Cricetulus griseus: one gene and its partners. The protein of the gene in region 3 interacts with the protein of the main gene of each other region in a pairwise test. Links are inferred from orthologs where the notes say so. Each region holds a gene or a part of one and is shown on either strand. Other genes may lie near its edges. The genes, in order: Rgs17, cysteine-rich hydrophobic domain-containing protein 2 and Hoxa1.

Region 1 (7,570 bases), on a different chromosome or scaffold from region 3:
TGCTATCTCCTAGATGGTAGTCAACATGTCCAGTTCTTAGAGCATTATCATATTTTGGCTATAATGTATAAGGAATCACAAAAAAAATCATACACAGCACGTGCACACACACATACATACACACACACACACACACACACACACACACACACACACACACACACTTTACATCTGGCCTTAGTAAGTATATGGTACAGAACAGATTTATAATCCTATACACCTAGGTGTCAAGTGTGAGGCAGAAGGATTGTAAATTCAAGTTACACTTATACTCCAGAGTGAGTTTGAGGACAGCTCGGTCATCTTAGTGAGACTATGTCTCAAAATAAAAAAGTTAAAAAGAAGGCTGGGGATATTCAGTAGTAGAGACCTTGTCTAGCATGCAGTAGGCTACAGAGTTAATTCTTGATACTGGAAAAAAGAAAAAGTGTGGTATGCTTGTTTCAAAGTTTGTTATTGGAACTTGACCCTTGCATATAGGTTAAATGTCATCTTTCCTAGGTTGGGCTGAGGAACCTGTGAGATATATGTGTTTAGAAGCAACAGACTTTGGTGAGAAGCAATTAGAATCCAAGAAAAACCAGCAGTGAACACCAAAGACACATTTTCTAGGTTTTTGATTTATTCAATCATTCACTTGTTCATTCAACAGATATTCATCAAGTTGATATTACATGCTGAATCCTGTTCTGAACCATGGAGATGCAACAGAAAAGAAAAGTGAAGTTTTGGAAGACTTTATTCTAATATGGGATGAAAAGGTAGAAACTAAGCAACTTATTTAGATATTGGGAAAAGTATTTCTTTAATAAAATAAAACAATACAAGGGGATCCTTCTAAATAGAAAAGAACTGCTTGTCTCATTGGAATAGTTTTCATGGTGGTTGGATCAGGCCTTTCTTGGAAACAGATGCATCCATGACATTAAATTGCCTGCTATGTAAAGAAGTACATGAATAGGATTCTAGGAAGAAAGACAACAGGTATCATATGCTGACATCCCTATGCAGCCAGAACAATCATCATTCTGGTCCATGGAAGCAAGATAAGAGCAAATAAAGTTGGAAGACTATTGAACAGAACCTCCCAAGGTAAGAGATGGATCATGGGCTGTGTTTAAAATACAAGGGAAGTCTAGAGGATTTTAAGTAGTCACATGACAAGATCTGCATGCTTCTAGAAGATCATTAAGCTGATATTTAGAGTGTTTGGGGAGGAGAAAACAGGGGATTCAAATAGAAGACCTTGAGTTATCTAAGTAAGAGATGGTAGTGGATTGGATCAAGGCTACCATAGTGGAGAAGGAACTGAGTGTACAAATTGGGTATGTATTTTTGAGGAAGAGATAATATGACTTGCTAATTAACTGGATGAGGATGAAGACAAGGAGGTAAAGCAAGGATGGCTTTACATTTTTGGATTGGATAACTGGGTTGAACAATCCAAGGAGGAACAGGTTTGGAGGGGGTGGATTTCTGCCACTCAGCCTCTGAGATGCCTGCTAAACATGATAATAATAGTATCTACCTTGTGGGGTTGTTGCGCAAAGAGAATAGGAAACACATGAAAATAATTTAGGCCAATATCCAGCAGCAACTAATTGCTCAATAAATATTAATGGTGATAACGGTAACAGTAAAGGCAGTTGTTCAAGAATTGTTAGTAGCTGTAATTCTTCAGTTAAGGTGGGTCAGCTCATTAGAGATTAGGAATAAAGATACTAGTGTAAGAGGGTATTACCAAGGAGTCACTGCAGCTTATACCATTGGGAGAATATTTTTGGTCCATTATGGACCAATAATATAGAACACTTGTCTCCATAAATCCCTTTGTTAAAACCCTAACTCCCAAAGTAATTGCAGTCAGAAGTGTTAGATTCAAAAGTGGTTAGATCACATGGATGAAGCATCATGTAGAGACATAGTGGTCTTTATAAATGTCACACCAGAGGGCCGTCTTATTTACCCTGGGACTGTGAGTCCAAAGCATTACATATGTCAGTACTTGACCCCTCATAAAACACCCAACCTGACTACATCTGACCTTGGACTCTTTGACCCTCTCCAGTATTGTGATGGGTTAGTTTCTGTTGTCTGTGAGTCACCCATTCTGTGATATGTTGTTAGAACACCCATAATGGATCAAAATGTACTTTCGTAATCTCCAACAACAACAACAAATGAATTACGCTTAAAATAGAGCATGCCAGCTACAACTGACTGAAGCACTTAGATGCCATGGCAATGGTAAATCGCTACAAAAATTCCTAAATTTCAGTCTCCATTTCTGTGCTTATTTCTCATTACAAATCAGTAGAGTTTGTAGATCAGCTCCAAGGAGTGCATTTTCAGGGCATTAGTACACAAAGCCATTGGGTGTAGCTCAAGAAAAGAGCTCTCTCTCTCTCTCTCTCTCTCTCTCTCTCTCTCTCTCTCACACACACACACACACACACACACACACACACACACACACACACACACACACACACCCCAAGTTATATTAATTGGAGGAGGTGGGGCAAGGGCTGGAATACAACAGTATTTGCATACAGGAGGACCCCAGCAGGAGGCTGTCATATACATCTACAAGCAATCAGTTCTAATTAGGTGTAAGGAAAAAGCCTAATCACTCCTGCAGGAACTCACTCCCCTTCCCACAGATGTGGAATCTAAAGAGAAAGACATCCGCTCTCCTTGCCCTGCCTCAGAAACACTTCAGCCTAATCACAGGAGGTACAATCTAGGGCTTGGAATGCATTAAGCATCCAAGGCTCCTTCATTACCAAGCTGTGCTCTGCTGGGGAGCAGATTAGCAATTCCTGTCACTGTCAAGGGGTCCTATAAGGATGCTTTAAGCCCCAGGTTTCCACAGCCGGCTAAGTGTTCTTGACTCCTGCCCTGAATTAGGTTTCTCTCACTGAACCCCAGCTCCAGAAGCCCAGAAGGTGTATCTACCTAAGGCCAGAGAGCGCCTGGAGGAATTCTTGGGTATTTCTGGGTAAGACATCAATAAAAGTAAAAGACTCATGTTTACACTCCCTTGAAGCCAGCCCAAACCTAAGGCTCCTTGAGTGCCTAAGAGACCTGCAGGCCTGGTCCCAGGACTAGGCAACACCACTTGAGCTATGGGTGAAAGCAAATTAGGAGAGTTCTTCCTTGTAAATTGCGTCCTTTCCAGGAAGGCACCCCGAGCCTCCCCACTGGTGTCGCCTAGCCGCCTGGCACCGAGACACAGTGAGCTCGGTCCCCGGGCGGGCACGCCAAGGAGGGACACGACGGTGGTGACTCACGCGGGCGCGCGCCCGCGGGAGGGGAGGACGCCTCACCTCCGGCAGAGCGGAGCGAGGGGCTGCCAGACGCATGCGCTGCGAGCCGCTTGTTCGCTCTCTCGCTCCCTCCCCGCCCACCCCAGCCTCCTCCCTCTCCGCTCTCTGCTGGCCTGGCTCCCTGTCTCCGTCGCCCGGTGCTGAAGTTGGGTGGATGGCAGTGAGCCGGCTCCTCTAGAGGACTGAGCAGCCCAGCCTCGCGCACCCTCGGACCGCGGTGCGCTCACCCACACCCCAGGCCACCCGGTAAGGCGCGACCTCTGAATCCCTAATAGGATAAGAAATGACATAAAAATGTCTGCTTTGCACTGATGGGTGGGTTTGATTTTTTTTTCCTTTGCTCATTTTGCCCTCCCCACCCCCCCACCACACACACACACACACACACACACACACACACACACACACACACACACACACGGCGAGGAGGAGGTGTGAGAAAGAGGGAAGGGGGGCAAGGGGGAATGTCTGTCGCCAGTCCCTGGCTGGTGAGACAGTGGGGTGCGCGGGTGTCAGTGGGCAGCACCGCTCGGTGGCTCCGCGAAGTTGAATCCCGCGTGGCCCGCCGCAGGGCTCAGTCCACTCTCATCCCCCCACCCCTGCCGGCTCTGCAGAGGGTCTGGACGGTTGTCCTGCCGGGTCGCGGTTTCGGGTGTCCCCGCTCCCGCGGGGAAAGGACTCAACACCTTCGGGGACCTGGAGGTGAGAGAGCTCTGCAGTGGCGGGAGGGGGAGCGCGCAGGGGATCTGGGTCCCCAAGCTTTTCGTGGCTGTTTGGTCTCAGCCGCGAACCACCTCGGGTGGTCTCATTTCTCCTTTTATCTGTTGGTGCCTTTAGGGAAAATAAGCGATTCAGTGCAGATAATGGTTTTACAGATACCTTGAGCAGCTGCTGTGAGTGTGTGTGCGCGCGCGTTGCGTGTGTGTGTGTGTGTGTGTGTGTGTGTGTGTGTGTGTGTGTATTGCAGAAGGTGAGAGTCTCTTTTGTTCCTCCCCCACCCCTGAGAAAACGAGTTCTGGTGTGCATGGCACCGGGTCGGTTTTACAGAAATCGAGAGAGTGAAGATCAGGAACGCCCACCAGCCCCCAGCCGCTGCCCCGCTGGGTGGCATCACAGACTTCCTTGCTGTGGGAGCTGGGTCTCCTGATTACGGATGGATCACAGCTTCTAGCTGCCTCCTCGCTAGCCTCCCTCCTCCTCTCTTTTCTCGGGCTGCCGCAGAGGCTGGTTGCAGACACTTTCCTGTTGTCTCCTCTTCTCCCTACCTCTGTGTCTTGGTGAAAAATGTCGGAGGACCTGAGGATGGCGGAAGAACAGAGCATCGGGTGGGGACCTGCTCCTGACTAGCAGGAGGCGCACCACTCACTCAGGAGTCTGAGGGCTCCCAGAGACTGAGCATGGGTCACCTGGTCTAAAAGATGTGGGTACAAGACGAGGCGTGTGTCCTTTTCCTCCACGGAGAACTAGGGAAGCAGGCTCGCTTGAGAGATCCTGGTCGCCCAGGAACCCTGCCCCTGGCTCTGAGCATAGTGTTCCAACACTCCCCGCTCCCTACTGACCCTTCAGTAAATTCATCCTTCTATGTCTTGTCTGAAGAACTTTGCAAGCTTTTAGTTGCCCCTTTCCGCCTCCTTAAAGGGGACGGGGGGGAGGGGTTACAGCAGGATTCTGTCCATCATGGGTTGGTTATCACAGAGAAAGAGGAACCTCAATTTGGTTCCCACCTAGGATAAACACTTCTGAGACTGCATTTCCGGTGCTCAGGCACACTGGTTTTCAGCGTGGTGAACCTTTCTGAAAACCATTCAGTTGGTAAAGACAGAAATAAATTTTACTCTGATAATGTTTCCTCGTTAAGTTCTGAGCTACTAGACGCTGTATGAATTGAAGAATTCGCAAACCGTGAGGCTCATTCTTTGTCTGCATCTCCGAAGTCTGTCGTTGTAACAGTAGCAGTTATGCATGGGACATGCATTGCAACACTGATAACCGATCAAAGGGTAATTCATACTCATCTAAGTCACATGACTGAGAAGTTTGACCTTCTGTTAACTTACTATTATGAAGCAACTTCTCCCGTTATCATGAACTAAAATAGTAATCATCCCACTCATGGCAATGTAGGTTTATTAGGTTTATTTACTAATTTATAATCTTAAGGGCTGTATTTAGGGCCTATGGATGAGGTTTATTTACAGTTTGGGGAACTAAGAAGACAAGTGTTTACTATTACAGAAAAGAATATGTTTTGTGAAATGAGATGCCTGTCCATGGGAATAATACCAGAACCCACATCACAGGTAGCATCTTCCCTCTTGAAATTGTCTCCGAAAGATAAAGAAACCCATTCACTTAAAAGCAAGCAGTGTAAGGTGTTCGTTTTGCCCATTTCCACGTTTTTTGACTGTGTTGCCTCAACTTCTCATTAGGTTAGTTAGTCCCTACTTTGGGCACTGTGCTCGTTCTTTTTTTTTTTTTCAGACTCATAGTTTGTATTGTATTTATAAAATAAAATTTATAAAAACGTGAAAAAGGGTAACTCAACATTCAAAAACTTGTTATATTGTTGCATTTACCAAATGATAATTTATCTAACCCTTCCCATCTTAAAATTTTATTCCAAAATCTTCAAGACATTTTCAATATCAATTTATACTCATTATTTATACTCATTATTTCTACCATCTGAAACCTTCAAATTAAGTTATAATAACATAATACATCACATAAGAAATTTTCTATGTGATAGTAGGTGATTAGAAATGTAAAGATTGGTTGAATGAATACAGTGCAGAGTGTATGAGAGGCTTAAAACACTAAATGCTGTTAAACTGGAACTATAATTAGCTTCAGCCAATCAGGGAAATACTAACTGTGTATCTTATTAATTATGCTCCAGGAAATTCAAACATCTAGGATACTGTTTGTGTCCTCATCACCATAAATACAAATTCCTACAGTGTGGATTGTCTACTTAATGCTCAGATTTAGACAATTGCAAAGTTAATTTGGATGCTTATCCAAGTCCCTGGAGCTTTCATTCTTTTTACTATACCATACTTATATGTTACTTATAAATGTCGACATGTTTGGGAAAGCTGCAAGATATTGGTGACAAATATCCATAATTCAAAAAAAGTAAATATTAAATATATATCATAGTGTAGCTATCACATGTGCTCTCTGTCATAATAGAACTCAAGATATATATATATAATATATATAATAATATATATATATATATGTGTGTGTGTGTGTGTGTGTGTGTGTGTGTGTGTGTGTGTGTGTGTTATCTGTGCTCGTTCTTAAAGGATGCCCACCGTATCAGGATTTAGTTCATTTAAGGTCTTAGTGCCAATGGTCTAAATCCATCATAATTCCTAAGGATTTCTTATACTTTTTCAGAATAAATCTCATTAGCATACACCCAGGGAAGACGCTTTGAAAACAAAAAGCTACATTCTTGTTTGGCTTTGTTAAAGAGCTAAATAAATGTGAATTGAATGGTCTCCATCCTAAATGATGAGAATTCTGCTGACTCACAGACTGAAGGGTAAGGAAGAACTTAGATGTGAATGTTCTGCTATGAAGACATGGGATCTTGCACTAGAAGTCTATTTGCTGAAATGTATGGACTTTCCTGGAGAAGTAGTCATTAGCAGTGAAGCAGGGAGCCAAAAGGACAGGAATCCATTCTATGGCATTTGGGAATCCATTCTATGGCATTTCTGTAGGGGATTTGGATACCCTAGTTCTATCTACAGAACAATGAAGATACTTCACTCTCCAGAAGGGAAAATGTGGGCACTAATACATTTATCTGTCAATTACTAAAGACCATACTATGGGGTTTTATAGAGTGCTTCTATAAAACAAATACTTCATTTCCTCTAAGTAGACAGTGCCCATCTTTCCTATCTCCCCTCACCTCCATTTATCCTTTAAGTAACTTTAGCAAATTTTTTAAAAATCCACTTAGATTATTATACTTGCTACTGTGCCAGCACCTAGCACAGTAACTAAGAAAGGGAAGTATTAGATATTTACTAAATGAATTAACTTTGCAAAATTGACATGGCTCAGAAAGGTCTTCTGACCTGCTTAGCTGAAACTATGGGCTCCAGGTTCAGTGAGAAACCTTGTTCTAAAACCTACAGTGGCAGGCTGGGGAGATGGCTTAAGTGGTAAGAATGCTTAGTTTGAAAGCAAGAGGTCCTGAATTCAGATCCCCAGCAACCACA
Region 2 (7,470 bases), on a different chromosome or scaffold from region 3:
CTTCCTAGTAGAGTATGTTCTCACTGAGGATAAGTACTTGCTGAGTGCCTAGTCAAAGTATCTCTATTCCTCATCCCACAACAAGACTCAGATAACATTATGGAAGGGAGGAGGAAAGAATATAAGAACCTAAGGAAAAGGGCACCAGGAAACCCTGTCTTCTGGACACGGTGTGCACATTATACTCATGAACTCACATTTATGAACTTGGGTTACCTTGCCCAAGATTTTGGGTAGATGGGTGAAGGGCTCATGCAACCTCACCCCTTAACTAAGAAGCTAGTGGCAATTCCTAGCTGCTGGGTGAAGGAGAATCATTTTCTTCAGGGTGTAGGCATTGGTTAAGTTGCCCATGATCCAGTAAATAATCCTGTACCAAAGCACATGCTAGCAACCCTAAACTCAACAGGTTATTTTTAAAAGAGAAAGAGACAGATAAACATGGAGTATAAGAGGGGTTGTGTTGAGAAGAAGGGCTCCAGAGGAAGTGGGGAATAGAACTTCAGATATGGAGGAAGAGGGGTATGGGAACAAAATACATTCTAAACATGTTTGAAATTGTCCAAGTATAAATAAAATATGTTTAAAAAAAATTGCAGGGCTGGAAAGATAACTCAATGGTTAAGAGCACTGGTTGTGTTAAGACAGGGTTTCCTGGTGCCCTTTTCCTCGGGTTCTTACATTCTTTCCTCCCCCTTCCATAGAGTTATCTGAGCCTTGTTGTGAGATGAGTAATAGAGATACTTTGACTAGGCACTCAGCAAGTACTTATCCTCAGTGAGAACATACTCTACTAGGAAGCCAGTGAGACATTCTATGTAAATTACAGAGGACCTGGGTTCGCTCCCCAGCACCCATGTGGTGGCTCACAACTCCAGCTCTAGGGGATCCAATGCCTTCTTCTGGCCTTTGAGGGCACCAGGCACAAATATGGTGCACAGACGTACATGCAGGCAAAACATTCATACATATAAAATAAAAATAAATACATCTTTTCAAAAAGTACTTTTTTCTCTACCCAGCTTCTTTCTTTATTTGTGCTCAATTTCCTTGTTTCTCATGTTTTCCAACTATAAATAAATGGTTGGACTAGATAAAAAGGTTCTTTGTAGCTCTAAAGGTTAATGATTAAATATTTACATGACTTACAAGTTCACACTGAATAAATATTAGATATTCAAACACATCTTCCACTAGAGTGTTTTTAAATTTCAGGCCCGAGGGGTGAGCACACTATTTTAAAGTGTATATACAAAGTGTAAAACAGTGTCTATTTTTTATTTTTATACATCCGTGTTTTGTTGAATGGATATACATGTACTATTTGTGTATATTTAAGTATGTAGCATGCGTGCACCGGGTACCTCAGAGGTTAGAGGAGAATGTCAGATCCTCTGGGACAGGAGTTCTATATGAGCAGACATGGAGATGCTAAGAACTAACCTGAATCCTCTGCAAGTGTAACAAGTGCTCAGAACTGATGAACCAACTCTCTAGCCCAACATGACTATTTCTGACTATCTGACTCTGCCTTAGTTTGAAGGAACAGTGCCCTGCAAACGTTTCCCTTCACAAATCCTACACACACTTCATACATGAGTGAAAACAAAAAAATAGTTTTGCATTGGTGTTTTATTCTAGATTATCTCTAACAGTCAAAATATAATAAAGGGGAAGCACTTAGCTTTAACAATCAGAGGTTGTATAAGTTATAGGCAAAGGCATATATATGCACAGTAGTAAGGCTCAAAGTTCATTAAATAAGGAGGCCTTTTCTTCTTACTAGCCTCTCTCTGTGTGTGACTATGGTGCTCAAATGCTTTTAAGCTTCCGAAGCTGTTTATTCCTGCTTTCAACTACTACAAATACGCATACATTAAGAATATCTAAAAATCACTTTAAAGGTCAATTTTAAAAGTACTTTTGTAGACTTTCTATGGTCATGTGAAATACAATTCATTTTAAAGTACTTAATTATGCAAAATTTCAAGGTAAATTAAAAAATTTCATGAACTATGCAGTTTAGAATGTTTTCAAAAGCTACTAATTTAATTATAAAGAAAGAATTTTTAAAGATAAAATCCAATTCAAATACTATATGAATGAATGTTCTTCATAGAGCTCCACTTGGAAATCACATAATTTACACTTTTCTTTTCTCAATGCAAGAGATTCAACCCCTTGTGTCATAGGCACATGCTCTACCACTGGGCTATATCCAGTTTGTTATTAACTTTCATTTTTTCCCTTTCTGAAATAAATTTAGAAACACAAAAAGTAATTAAAGCTTCAGGTTTAAGCTTGGTGCTCTGGTTTATACATGTATAATAGCAAATCATTATTTCATGAATCCTTTGAAATGTCCCAGTATCTGTCCTGCCCTCCTAACAGGCAATAGAGCTCTTACAATGATGAAATGACTGGTACCTGTCCAGGTTAACCTCAAATGGGCCTCTCAGCTGTTCCCTTTCTATGGTTATAAAGAAATTTAACATATGATTGTAAAGGTAAACCCTAAATTGCTTAGTTTGTGAACAGCGAGAGCTTGGGGTTGGGGAGCAAACACATAAAATATTTTTGATGTTCAAGGAGAGAAAGGAGATTTGGCTGTCTGATAATGAAAGAATCAGAAATGGTTTTATGAACATTTCCAACTGTTTAAACACTTTTTAACCAACCTTTTATACATATAAACAATGAGGATTATATTGTTTCAAAGAACAGTGAAAATTCCTCAGAAATGTAACACCAGGTCCTTCACAAAGACTGGTAGTTTTAGTTTCAATAAATTCTTCCTTTCTTAAATCTTTTTCTCTTAATCTAATAACCTGTCCATGCTCAATGGAGAATTAATAAATTCAAAGTTTCTTAAAGTATTCTGAACTTTTCAAAAGAACAACAACTGTTCAAATAAATAAGGGCATCAATAAACTAAATTTCTGAAATGATTGCGTGCATACACATTTATGTATGTGAAAGCAAAATTAGCCATATTTTAAAGGACAAAACAGGTTGGCCAACATCTGTTTATGTTTAAGATAACTGTACAAAGCAATGATCTAGTAACACTTGGAAAACCCTCTAAAGCCATGAGATACACAGGCAGCCAGAGGCTATAAAGGCTTCTCAGGCTCCAACGGCTTGGCTGAAAGGTTCTCTTCCATACTTGGAAACTTGATTAGCATTATATAAAAACGCCATATCTGACGTGCTGCGTAACCAAGGTTGTGGTTATTCTTTATACAGCATCTAAAATTTCACACTCCATCAACACATGTTCAGGCCATTTTATCTTGGCAATTAATTTATTATTTTTCAGAACACAGTGAAGCCTTGTTTTCAAGTCATTCATAACTTTATAAATCAGTCTTGCACATGAAACCCAGGCATCTGTGAACCGTAGAAAATCCTTGCACTCAGGAGATTAAGCTCCTGACACCTTTGCTGATTAATAATCATGGAAAGAATAAGATCAGAAACAAAATAAATGATCATTTAATAGAGAAACTCACAAAACAGCCCTTTAACTTACATATTCCATCATGTTGTTCGTTTCACATTTCCTTTTGCTCAGTCTCCAGTGCAAGCACAGCTAGACACGAAGAAAGGCAAAAGAAGAGAAATGAGCTCTGTTTTCCTAGGCACAAGGCTCACCCATTCGTCCACCTTTCATATTTTCAGCCAACAAAAGCATCTGTTTCCATACTGTGCAATTCAGAGCCCAACAGTACGAAGCTGCTCCCTGCAGTACTCACCTTGTGGTATAACCTATTGTTTTCCCATTCTAATAACTTCTCAATCGATCTTCGTGTCTGGAAGACAAATGAGGGGAAAGTTTACTCTTGACTGGTTTTAGAAAAGCTGTTTTGCAGCTGCTTTTTGTGTGAAAAGGGAAGAAGTATAAAATGATGACAAGAGTGGTCTGTACTCTACACGGTCCAGCACTAAGAAGCTCATCAGAGACAGTAGTTTGTAAAGAAACATTGATTTTGTTTTAAGTATATATGCTTATATTTTTAAAGTATTTTGAACTTGCTAGCCTTTCATTTAAAACTAGTAGTCTAAAAAGCAAATGCCATTTCATTTAAACTTAAATCCCTACTTCTTTAGGAAATATTTTTCAGTATTTAAATAGTAATGAACATCCCTTAATCTCTATTTTTAAAACAATAATAATTTAAATATTAGTTAACAAAATATAAATGGCCTTTAGGGTAAATATAAAAACACTACTAACTGAAGGCTAATAAAGGGAGAAAATGAGTTATAAAAATCAAACTAATTTTAGGACTGTGCAAGAAAATCAGTTCATTGGTTACTGCAGTTTTCAAACAGCCAAATTTTATTTAAAGCAGCATAAATGTTGTATCTGAGAGTAAAATTGATTCTTAATCCAAGGGTACTTACTGCTTCAGGGCTTCCCTTAGTTGCTGCACAGACTAAGCAGCATGGACCACTCTCACTTGGGAGTGTGAATAAAGAAGCTAATGCATGGAGCCAGGTGTCAGGATGAGACTAACTCTGCAGGTGCAGAAGTGATAGCACTGCTAAGAGACCAACTGCAACTTGATGCAGCTGCAGCTTTCTTGAGAAGGAAGAAGGCATCTACCGATATTAAATGTGGCACAACTGTAAATAAGTCCTGATAATCTGATGGAAACTTGAATGCCAACCAGCATTGAGTGATGTGAAAAACTGGTAGAACAAGCTGGTTTTGAAGTCTGTTACATAAAAATGTTACGATGTATTTAAAGTATCTACTGTAATCCAGTTCCAGCATTACATCTCAGCATGTTGAACTGCTACAAAGACACTGAAGTCACAGAGGCACCAATTATAATTCATAGCTAACAACAAATTACCACGAGTGCTTATATTTTCCAATTTTATGTCATAAAAATCAGAAAATCAACATTTTCTGGCAATAATATGTCAATGACTAATTTATTACAATTTTTGAACAGTCTTTTTTGGTAAGAATTTTAAAGAAAAAGTGCCCTTGTTAGCAATGATCAGCAGCCCTCACTTGTTTCTTTGTAAGATAGCCTTTTAGAGGCAGCTCTCCTTTTAAATGAAAATAGGGCAGCAGTTATGGTCACACTTTTTGTTAATTTAGTTGCCAGTCAGCCCCAAATCAAAAGAAAATAAGGCTGCAGAGAGTAATTAACATTCAGTTCAGTCGTTTTGTCCCTTGTCTAGCCCCCAAGCTTTGTTAAAATTGCCATCTGAATGCTGAAGGCTGTAGGGAAATCGATTTGATTCTAATCGCACCATGAAAAGAACATGATCTAACTGCTTTCAGCCCTCCGTAAATCTGTACTAGGTCTTTAGCACAATGCAACTTCCAATTTAAAAAGCACTGAATGTCTCGTCAATGACTTTGTGAAGAAAAAAGAACAAGGAGCAGACATAAAAATTCCAATAGTTGTTTAAGCATTAAAGTTCATTTGCATCACAGCGAACCTGAAAAGGGCTGACCTCTCAAACCGCCTCTCAGGTCTATGAAGTTGTAGCCTTGACAAGCTCACATTGACAGAGCTCATTGACTCTGAAAGGCTACTCTATCAATGGTGAAAAATGGCAATAGGTTCTACTATGAGCAGGCATCTGCCTGCCCACCCGCTGCTAAACCAATGGTAAAACCGTTTCAAAACCTGAATCCACCTTGTAATCTTCCTTTCTAGGACCTTTTAATAATAGATTAAGATTACTATACAATTTGAGGTTTTACTTTTACTGATGGTTTAAAAGAAGATGGGGAAAATTAAAGAAATAGAGTAGGGAGAAATAGCTCTTGAAGTCTGTTGTTTTATAGTAAAACTATATAAAAGTAGTTGCTAAAAACTTAACATTACATTTTGCAATATTTATTATTCAAAGAAAAGAGTGTTTTTTAAACCATATCAACTTATCAGAATGTATAAGCTATGCTATATACAGTGAGAACATCTTATTATCATTCATACATAGATATATACGCATGCACACATACACATGACATTTACAAACTTAAAAATATTTACTTTTATCTTAAATCAAATACCAGTATTTGTATAAAGATAATTACGAAGTATGAACCTAAAATTCTAAAATATTTATTTAGGAACTTCGAATTTATTCTTTGTCTCTAATTAGGAGTTTAATAATAGGGTTGGGTATAATTGTATCCCATAATATTAAGAATTCTAAAGCAAACAAAGTTTGCTATGCCATACTCTGTATGATCATCTGAATATTCAATATTTCTACACTGTTGAAGTCTGAAGTAAAGCTGTGAATTAGCACCATCTAATCTTGCTATAAGACTTCTCTCCTGCTTGACAGGTGAAAAAAAGGCACTTGCACGTGCAGCTTAATTAATCACTGCACTTGACATCTCAATGATTTGCAGCGAGGAGCAGGTGAGAACACACAAAACCAGAAAGGAACCCTTGATTTGAGTAGAACATTTCTAGCACACTAAGGTGACAAGTAAGTGATTCTAGCAATGATTTAAAAAAAAAAAAAAAGTAAAGAAAGAAACTGTGCCACAAATTATTTGTTAGTAACAACAAAAGATCAAATTAAATGGAAGAAAAAAAGGCTTAACCATAGAGAATGTTTAATACTATGCAATTATTTTTAGTTAACAAAATCAAAATATATTTTCAAGATGAAGTACAATACCAATTTGGCAGATAGTGGGGGAAATATGACATTTCAGCATTATAAAAGCTATTTCAAAGCTTTTAAACTTCAGTGGGAAGAAAGCACATTTTAATTACAGTCATCTAGAAATAAAAGTTAAGAGTTTATGTCCACAGGGTTGTCAGATTCTAATGAGATATTAAAATTCAACACAGCCAAATCTAGTATCTATTAACCGGACAAGCAAATCTAATCATATAAATACCTGTCATTTAATTTGAAGGGATTATACTACCTTGCAAATTCAAAATATTTTAAGTTAAAAGGATCAGAAAAAAATTCATATCAAACATGGAATACCAACAAAATATTATTCTTCTAGGCAACTTTCTAAAAATAAGACATATTATCTTCCTTAAAAGAATTTAGTGCTTGAGAAAAATACCAGATTGATAGTCATGGGAACTAAAAAATCTTCTGTTTAGCTGAAAGGACAGGAGAAAGGGCAGTGCAGGCTTCAGTACAAGTTCCCTACAGTGGGCCTTAATCCTTTTCAGTACTCACACACTGGGGTGGAAAGACAGGTTAGTGGCTCTTTACCAATGAATCCTCAGTCCTTCTGCCTAGGCTGTCAACAAGAAACCTACTTTTATCACATAGAGTCTTGAATTAGAAAAACAAGACCACCAACTTACACCACGTAAGTAAAGCAAGACTTGGGTGAGATGCTATCATGCAGTGAACCTGGGTTAGAACAGCAGCTCCCAGCATCTAGACCCCCACCAACCTTCCTCATCAAAGCTCATTACGAATGACAGTTCAATAATATTAACTTCTTTTCAT
Region 3 (7,570 bases):
CTAGGGGAGGCTGTCTTGGAAAGCCTACCCGGGAAAGCATGGGCCGCAGCCGCAGCCGGCAGAGGCCGAGCCTGCAGTTAATAGGGCAAGGTCTGTGGAAGCCCGGGTGTCTGTGGGCCGGGTTCCAGTGCCTGCCTGTGATCTCGAGAGGAAAGCACCCCATCTAGTCTGTTCAGGAAAACAAAGGTGGAGGGAGAGGGCTGAAGGGAGTGAGAACTAGCACAAGCAGGCCGACAGAGGCCTGGGGCAGCTTTGAGGCCCCAGTCCTGGAGCTAGCATGTTAATGCAAATCCGGAGGGGAAGCCCACGGAAGGCCAGGAAAGAGGCAAGGGGGAGAAGGAATGGACGTCTCCTGCTAAATGAGCAGCTCACCAGCACTCACTCCATTGAGCCTCTCACTTCCTGCCGACCCACAGGAGTCCCTGCTTTCTTCATAGCTGGAGGACTGCCCTCCCAAGACAACCTCCTCAGGGAGGTCTACCTTGCTTTCCTCTGATGATTCCTCAGGAGCTGAAGCTAAAGCAGGGGAAACTTTCCAGTCCTTGCTCCCCCTTAACCAAGCCTTGGGGGTGAGTCAAAGGTCACAGAGAAACACCACTCCTCAAATAAGTGGTTGCTACTGAGGAAGACCAGACACAAGGTCTACTTAGATCTCCCTGAGGATGGTCAGGTTTGGGACTGGGGGTAGGGGTGGAGGGGACCACAACTTCTATATGTGGAGAACAAAACAAAGTCTGAAGAGTGACCTCACATTTGAAAAGTGGCTGCTCTGAACAAAACTTCCTTTTTCTATAGACAGAGAACACCCAAACTCACACATAAATTACTCTGATAATTTCACGTCTAGAAGCATGGTCAGAATAAAACCTGTGCAGAATTGCTTGCAAGGTTTCTTAGGTGATCACTGACTTTCTCCTACTTAAGAACGCGTTCATTCTCTGTGTGGCCTTTTCTCTCTTCAAGCCTAGGGCTGACATTAAACCTAACAGTAAACAGCAATTACCAACACCATCAGCATCATCGTAGGGGTGAGGTTGATGGAAAACAGGACCCCTGTCCTGGGATGATGCTCACATTTGCACGTGTCTCTCTGGGGAGTGACCTGAAGGTTCACACAAGCAACTACACAGTCCGTTGGAAAGTATACAATCCACTCAGCCATCTGTCCACTGCCCCTCCCACCTGCCAGTCCCTCCCCACCCCCCAGACATGCAATAGGGGGCGGTGGCAAGAGGAGGTTTTCCCACTCCTAACAAGCAAGCCCCTTATGAAAGAGAGAAATGTGACGCGGGAGGTCAGCATACTTTGTAAGAACTGTGCGATCCGTCCTTCTGTCCCGTCCCTCCGTCCCTCTGAGGCCTACGCTGGAGCGAGCAAGCTCCTGGGTCTCTAAGAGCAGACAGAAGGCCTGCAGCTCAGGCTCGGCCCTCATGCCGGCCACGTCTGCTAGCGTCATCTTTCTCATCTGCCTTCCACCCTCAAACTCCAGCAGCAGAGTTGCTCCGGATCCTGAGGGACTACCAAGAGCAAAGCTGACTGACTGGGAAGGAGAAAGGGGAAGAGATCCAGAGAAGAGGGAGGGCAGAGAAGAGAGCAGACACCCGGACTTTCCCAGAGAGCTGGGTTCCTAGGGCTCCCCCGCCCCCCTGGGGTCGAATTACAGAAGCTCCCATAGCCACGCTATTGGCCCGTAGGAGTCAGGGCAGAGGGCTCTGAGACCCTCCGGATGAGGACAGTAGCTTCTTTTCTTTCTCTGGTCCCCATCACACCCACCCTGATTCCTCCCAGACAATCCTTTGCGCACGTCCCCCTACATTCCGAGGCGGGTGAGGCAGTGACGCAGCCTTGCCCTAGGCGCCTGGGTTCCAGGCTCAAGTCTCTGCAGGGACTGGGTGGTGGCGGCCATCCCGAGCTGAGGGGATGATGTGTGCTGGATTCCTACCCTTCCCACCCTGTTTGCTCCCGGCTCCGCCAGGGTCCTTGAGACCATGCAGAGAGCTCTGGCCTACCGAGGCCCGCCTCAAGAGAGCCGAGAGGCCTCGTCCCCTCTCACCTCTTGTCAGTTCAGCTTTCTAGGCTGGGTGGGGAAAGGGCCGCGGAGGGTCGCCTCCCATCCCCCACATCCTGGAGGCGGAGGCGAGCAGAGTCGGGCGCGCGCAGAAGTCAATCTCTACTCCCCTTGGCCCCAGTGCTCCAAGTCAGCTCTGGCAGCGGCCGGAGCAGCCGCCGCGGCCCGGGCAGCCTGGGGGGGCGACCGCGCGTCACCTAGACTGAGGAGCGCCGGGGATTTAAATGCCACTGAAACGGTGATCCATCACCGCCGCAGCCGGTAAACTTTCGCAGGCGGCTCAGCCATTGGTTGACAAAGTCACGTGTCCTTCCCCTTGAGTCCTCCGCCTTCCCGCCCCGCCTCTTGCGCACTGTACATTCATATCATTTTTCTTCTCTGGTCCCATGGAGGAAGTGAGAAAGTTGGCACGGTCACCCAGGGCTTCGCAGGACCCAGTCACTCAGTGACAGATGGACAATGCAAGAATGAGCTCCTTCCTGGAATATCCCATCCTTGGCAGTGGCGACTCCGGGACCTGCTCTGCGCGAGCCTACACCTCTGACCATGGGATTACAACTTTCCAATCCTGCGCGGTCAGTGCCAACAGCTGCGGCGGCGACGACCGCTTCCTAGTGGGCAGGGGGGTGCAGATCAGCTCGCCCCACCACCACCACCATCACCACCCCCAGCCGTCTACTTACCAGACTTCTGGGAGTCTGGGGGTTTCCTACTCCCACTCGAGTTGTGGTCCAAGCTATGGCGCGCAGAACTTCAGTGCGCCTTATGGCCCCTATGGATTAAATCAGGAAGCAGACGTAAGTGGTGGGTACTCCCCGTGCGCTCCCGCTGTTTACTCTGGAAACCTCTCATCTCCCATGGTCCAGCATCACCACCACCACCACCACCAGGGTTATGCTGGGGGCACGGTGGGCTCGCCTCAGTATATCCACCACTCTTATGGACAAGAGCACCAGAGCCTGGCCCTGGCCACGTATAATAACTCCTTATCCCCTCTCCACGCCAGCCACCAAGAAGCCTGTCGCTCCCCTGCTTCAGAGACGCCTTCTCCAGCGCAGACCTTTGACTGGATGAAAGTCAAAAGAAACCCTCCCAAAACAGGTGAGTCCTGCCGGCTGGCAAACAAATGTTGCTTGATTTTGAAAGGGGCCGGTGCGCTTAGTTTCCTAGGAAAGTTAATGATTTTAAAAGATGGGTTCTTGCTTCTGTCTAGTGTCTTCTGGAGTTATAGTGTGTGGTGTAGGATGCCCAGGTGTGTTGGGGCAAAGCAGTTTCTGGACCTGGCATTTTCAAAGGGGCTGATGCTTCAGTGGTCTAGAAGTAGGAAGCGTGTGTGTGTGTGTGTGTGTGTGTGTGTGTGTGTGTGTGTGTGTGTGTGTGTGTGGTGTGGTGTGGGTGGGAGGTGTCGGTGGTGGTGGAGTTTTGTTAATATCTACAGGCTCCATTAATCAGAAGCCTGACCACGCTAATGGTTGACTTCAGGTTAACACTTTACATACACATCGTTTGTCACTAGAGCTTCCCAGCTGGGTTTGTGCTGAGCAGTTAACCGAATGTTGCCCCGAACATTGGGCAATCGGATAAGGGTTAAAGAATTTTTACCTTTTCCTCTCTTCCTCCGTTACCCCAGGGAAAGTTGGAGAGTATGGCTATGTGGGTCAACCCAACGCAGTGCGCACCAACTTCACCACCAAGCAGCTCACGGAGCTGGAGAAGGAGTTCCACTTCAACAAGTACCTGACACGAGCGCGCAGGGTGGAGATAGCCGCGTCCCTGCAGCTCAACGAGACCCAGGTGAAGATCTGGTTCCAGAATCGCCGCATGAAGCAGAAGAAGCGTGAGAAGGAGGGGCTCCTGCCCATTTCTCCAGCCACTCCTCCTGGAAGCGACGAGAAAGCTGAAGAATCTTCTGAGAAATCCAGCTCCTCGCCCTGCGTTCCTTCTCCAGCATCATCTACCTCAGACACCCTGCCTACCTCCCATTGAGGCCACTCCAGCCCAGCTCCGTAGTCCAGGCTTCTCCCTGGGCTAGGGTTTCTTACCCAAAGCACATCTCTAGCTTATCTTTCTTCCTTTACAGTCTCTCTTTTTCTTTCTGGTCCAATCCAGAGAGCTCCTGGGCAACATAATGTAGTTCCATAGAATTCTGGAGACTTGGTTGTAAATTAAATCCTTAATCCACATCGGGTGCCCATATCAATTTCTGGTGGCCCCCAAAATTCCTTCCTCACTGTTGTGAGAGTTTTTTTTACACAACCCATGGTTCCTTTCAGATGTCCCTTGGAGGACAGTACCCTTTGCCAGCAGGCATTTGAAGAAGGGAGGCATCTCACCTTTTATCTGTATATTGTTCTTCTCTACCTGGCTCTTAAGTAGGACACACAAAAAAGAGAGTATCCAAAGGCTCATGAAGAAGAGATTGACTGAGTGTGTTTACACAATTAATTCACCCCTTAACTTTCTCTTGAGAGATTTATCTTTATACAGATTTTCTAGAAACATGCAGAACTATATCAAACAGGGTGGGCAAACTTCCAAAACTGGTGATTATGGGTGGACAAAAAAGGGGGGACCCTGGCATTCAAACAGAACCAGATTCCTCAAAAGGTAGCCTCAATTTGCTCTTGCAGAGTCAAGAAGGCCTGAGAAGCCCAAAGTTCAGAACCTTTGCTGTGCCAAGACTTCCCAAATTACCGATTTCTTCTTGCTTCTCTGGCCACCCTCCACTTAAAAAGTGTGCTGGATTATTTGTAACCTAAAGGTACTCTTTTCAGTCACCCTTTCTTTCCACAGTTATCTTGGCTGGATACAATGTATTTTCAGCTAATTGTTAATGTGATGGCACAATGAATGTATATTTTGTGTGATTCGTGAATAGTCTTCTGCATGTCGCACAATGTTTTGATGTCCCTGAAGTACCACACTGAGTTCTATCAGTTATCTTTTGTGAGCCTACGATAGTCCCCCTTTCCTGTACAATCATGAACAGCTCTGAGATCCCAGAGGGATGTGATCCAGAGCAGAGTTTACGGGTCTTAAGACGTCTGTAATAAAAAATATTCAAGTTTTGGGTATGCTTAAGCATCTGTGTATTTGGCTGGGCTACAGTTTGTGTCTTACTACAAAGTAAGGGGAAGGATATATGGGGAAGGACAGAAGGGTGGTATTTATTTTCAAAGAAGTGGGCCCTCCATTGTCATGTAGCTTGCAGCATTCCTTATAAGTATAGCCTCATCCAACCAATGTCTAGCTAATGCACTGATCTCTTTATCATAACAACCACTCCTTTATTATAACCAAAGTTCAAAATGGAAAAACTAGTGAAGCAATGTATGAAGGAGATCTATTTTTGAAACAAACATGGATACTTCCCGGGTCAAGTGCTAACCTTTTCACCTCCAACTGAATGTTGACACATATATAAACAGAGCCCCTTCAAAAGCTGAAAACTGTCTTCAGTCAGTCTTTCCTCACATTAGAGAACCAACGGCAGAGAGATTCACATTTAATCAGCTTCAGTATAAAAGTATCTTTTAAGTTGAGTATGGTCTGCCTCCCACCCCCTGTTCTTTCTATCAATATCCATTCTTTCAACCACTCCCTTACATCTCTGCATTGCAATCTTATCCCTTCAAATTCAACTTTCATGTCATTGCCATCATGACTGCAAAGGCTCTCCATTTCTAATTCCATGCCACATAGGCTGGGCAGAAGTTGATAGTCTCTAGATTCAGATTCTTCCAGTTGACCTTATGAAAACCAGCTCACATCTTTGTGTATCCAAGTTGTTTCTGATAGAGGCATGTGTCAGATCTCAGAGGGAGTCAACAAATGATGACATTCAACAGAGCTGTTCTAGACCTCTTGCCAATTTCCTTTTATTTTTTAACATATTTCAGGGTTTAAGCAACATTTTCTAACTCTTTTCCTGGTGGTGCTGGGGATGGGACTCAGAGCCTTGTACGTTCTAGGCAAGTGTTGGACCTTCCTCAGTTTTCACACACATTTGGAGGCTTTGAGCCCTCAGAGCAGAGTAGAAAATCTACAGCATCACAGATACAGACATGTGACTTCCTTTTCAAAGGGTGTTTTGAAAAGATGGGCTGAGGAGAAAAACCTACAAACCTTCGGAATTTGCAGGCCTTCTAGAACACTTGTGAGATTTCCTGCACAACCCTGTTAAATGGACTTTGTGGGAGCAGTTGCTGCATGCATATCAAGGGCTCTGGGCACCCTCCCTCAGCTGCTGGTTCTGAGGTCGCCTGAAAAGATTCAAGTGGATGGAGAGAACTTCAAAGACACCACCCTTTTCTTTCATTTCCCCGCCTGGCTATACTGTATCTTTTGTTTATTAGTGTAAGGCCACAAAGCAAAACAGATGGCTGGTTTTCAAATACTTTAATGTGTTAAAGTGCCATTTGCATACCACTGTCCTGATTTCAATATCTGAAAGCAGGGTCTGACCTGCAGGAATCCTAGAGATTCCTATCTTCAAGGTGCTGGTTTTAATGTAGCTAAGAGGGAAGAGAACGATAAATTATGGCTAAATATCCCTAGCCTTTCCTAGGTGGTAGAATAAATCAGCTAACAAGCAATGCATTTAGGAGACATTAATATACCTTTCAACAAGGAAAACATTTGTATCTTTTTAGCTGTCCCAATCGATTAAATCAAAGTCGCTTAACACATCCTATTTCAAGGTCTCTTTTTTTTCTGTCCTGGTCTCAGAGGAGCAAAGCTAACGCCTTGAAAAATGACAGCAATTGTAACAGAAACAACCTAAATGTGGACAACAGAAAATAACATTTCGTTCATACATTTAAAAAATGAAACAAAGGTTTTTACCAAGGAACCTCGGGTAATTGCAACACAGAATGAGTTTTCAACCCCCCCCCCATTTCCTCTATCTTTATCCAAAGTACTGACTAAACTGGGGGTGTCCTCAAACTAGCCTGAGTTTGGTCTGTGGGACTGTGAAGTCTGCTTTGGGCTTCACCTTCGAGAGAGTTTACTTTTGGAGGCTATTCAGATGCAGCGGTGTTTTCCTCTGGGGCAATCAGATTCAAACCGATCAATATTTACTCAGTCTGAAAGGGTTGTTGAAAAGGCTGCTAACAACAAACTGCTTAGCTGCTCACCCCTGTTTAATCTCAGGTTCACCGAAAGTTCAAGAAGAGATGAATGCTGTGATGGGTCACTTTAGAATGAGTCCCAGCAGTTTATCTGAGCTCTCAGCTAAAGGTAACAATTATAGTTCCATCCCTCCTTGGGAAAGGGGCAACCTTCCTATTATTCGTTTGCTAAACAGTGTTTACTAGAAACTTAAAACACTTTCCTCTTCCCTTTTAGTTCTTTTTTGGGGGAAAGAGAGGCGCTTCTAGCCGCCCTCCCACTGTGCTTCTTCTAGTTTTCTGCTGTCCCACTCTGCTTGCTGATAAAGTAAGTGACACTGAATACTTTTTAAAATGCTAAATTATTCTGCCCGAACAGTTGTGACTTATT

What was found.
Region 1: the proteins of Hoxa1 (region 3) and Rgs17 interact in binary tests that used the Homo sapiens proteins (3 or more experiments, as listed by UniProt). The two-hybrid records come from large-scale screens. The link is inferred for Cricetulus griseus from reciprocal best matches to the Homo sapiens genes HOXA1 and RGS17.
Region 2: the proteins of Hoxa1 (region 3) and cysteine-rich hydrophobic domain-containing protein 2 interact in binary tests that used the Homo sapiens proteins (3 or more experiments, as listed by UniProt). The two-hybrid records come from large-scale screens. The link is inferred for Cricetulus griseus from reciprocal best matches to the Homo sapiens genes HOXA1 and CHIC2.

What each region holds. Positions count from the first base shown.
Region 1 is NC_048595.1:283,385,507-283,393,076, reverse strand, and holds the start of Rgs17 (regulator of G-protein signaling 17), read left to right. Parts: upstream 1-3,410; 5' UTR 3,411-3,575; intron 3,576-4,009; exon of another isoform or gene 4,010-4,031; intron 4,032-7,570. UniProt on the Homo sapiens protein: Regulates G protein-coupled receptor signaling cascades, including signaling via muscarinic acetylcholine receptor CHRM2 and dopamine receptor DRD2.
Region 2 is NW_023276807.1:141,512,026-141,519,495, forward strand, and holds part of cysteine-rich hydrophobic domain-containing protein 2, read right to left. Parts: intron 3,813-7,470; coding exon 3,756-3,812; intron 3,593-3,755; coding exon 3,533-3,592; intron 1-3,532.
Region 3 is NC_048601.1:89,185,580-89,193,149, forward strand, and holds Hoxa1 (homeobox protein Hox-A1), read left to right. Parts: upstream 1-2,406; 5' UTR 2,407-2,520; coding exon 2,521-3,169; intron 3,170-3,698; coding exon 3,699-4,054; 3' UTR 4,055-5,154; downstream 5,155-7,570. UniProt on the Homo sapiens protein: Sequence-specific transcription factor. Regulates multiple developmental processes including brainstem, inner and outer ear, abducens nerve and cardiovascular development and morphogenesis as well as cognition and behavior.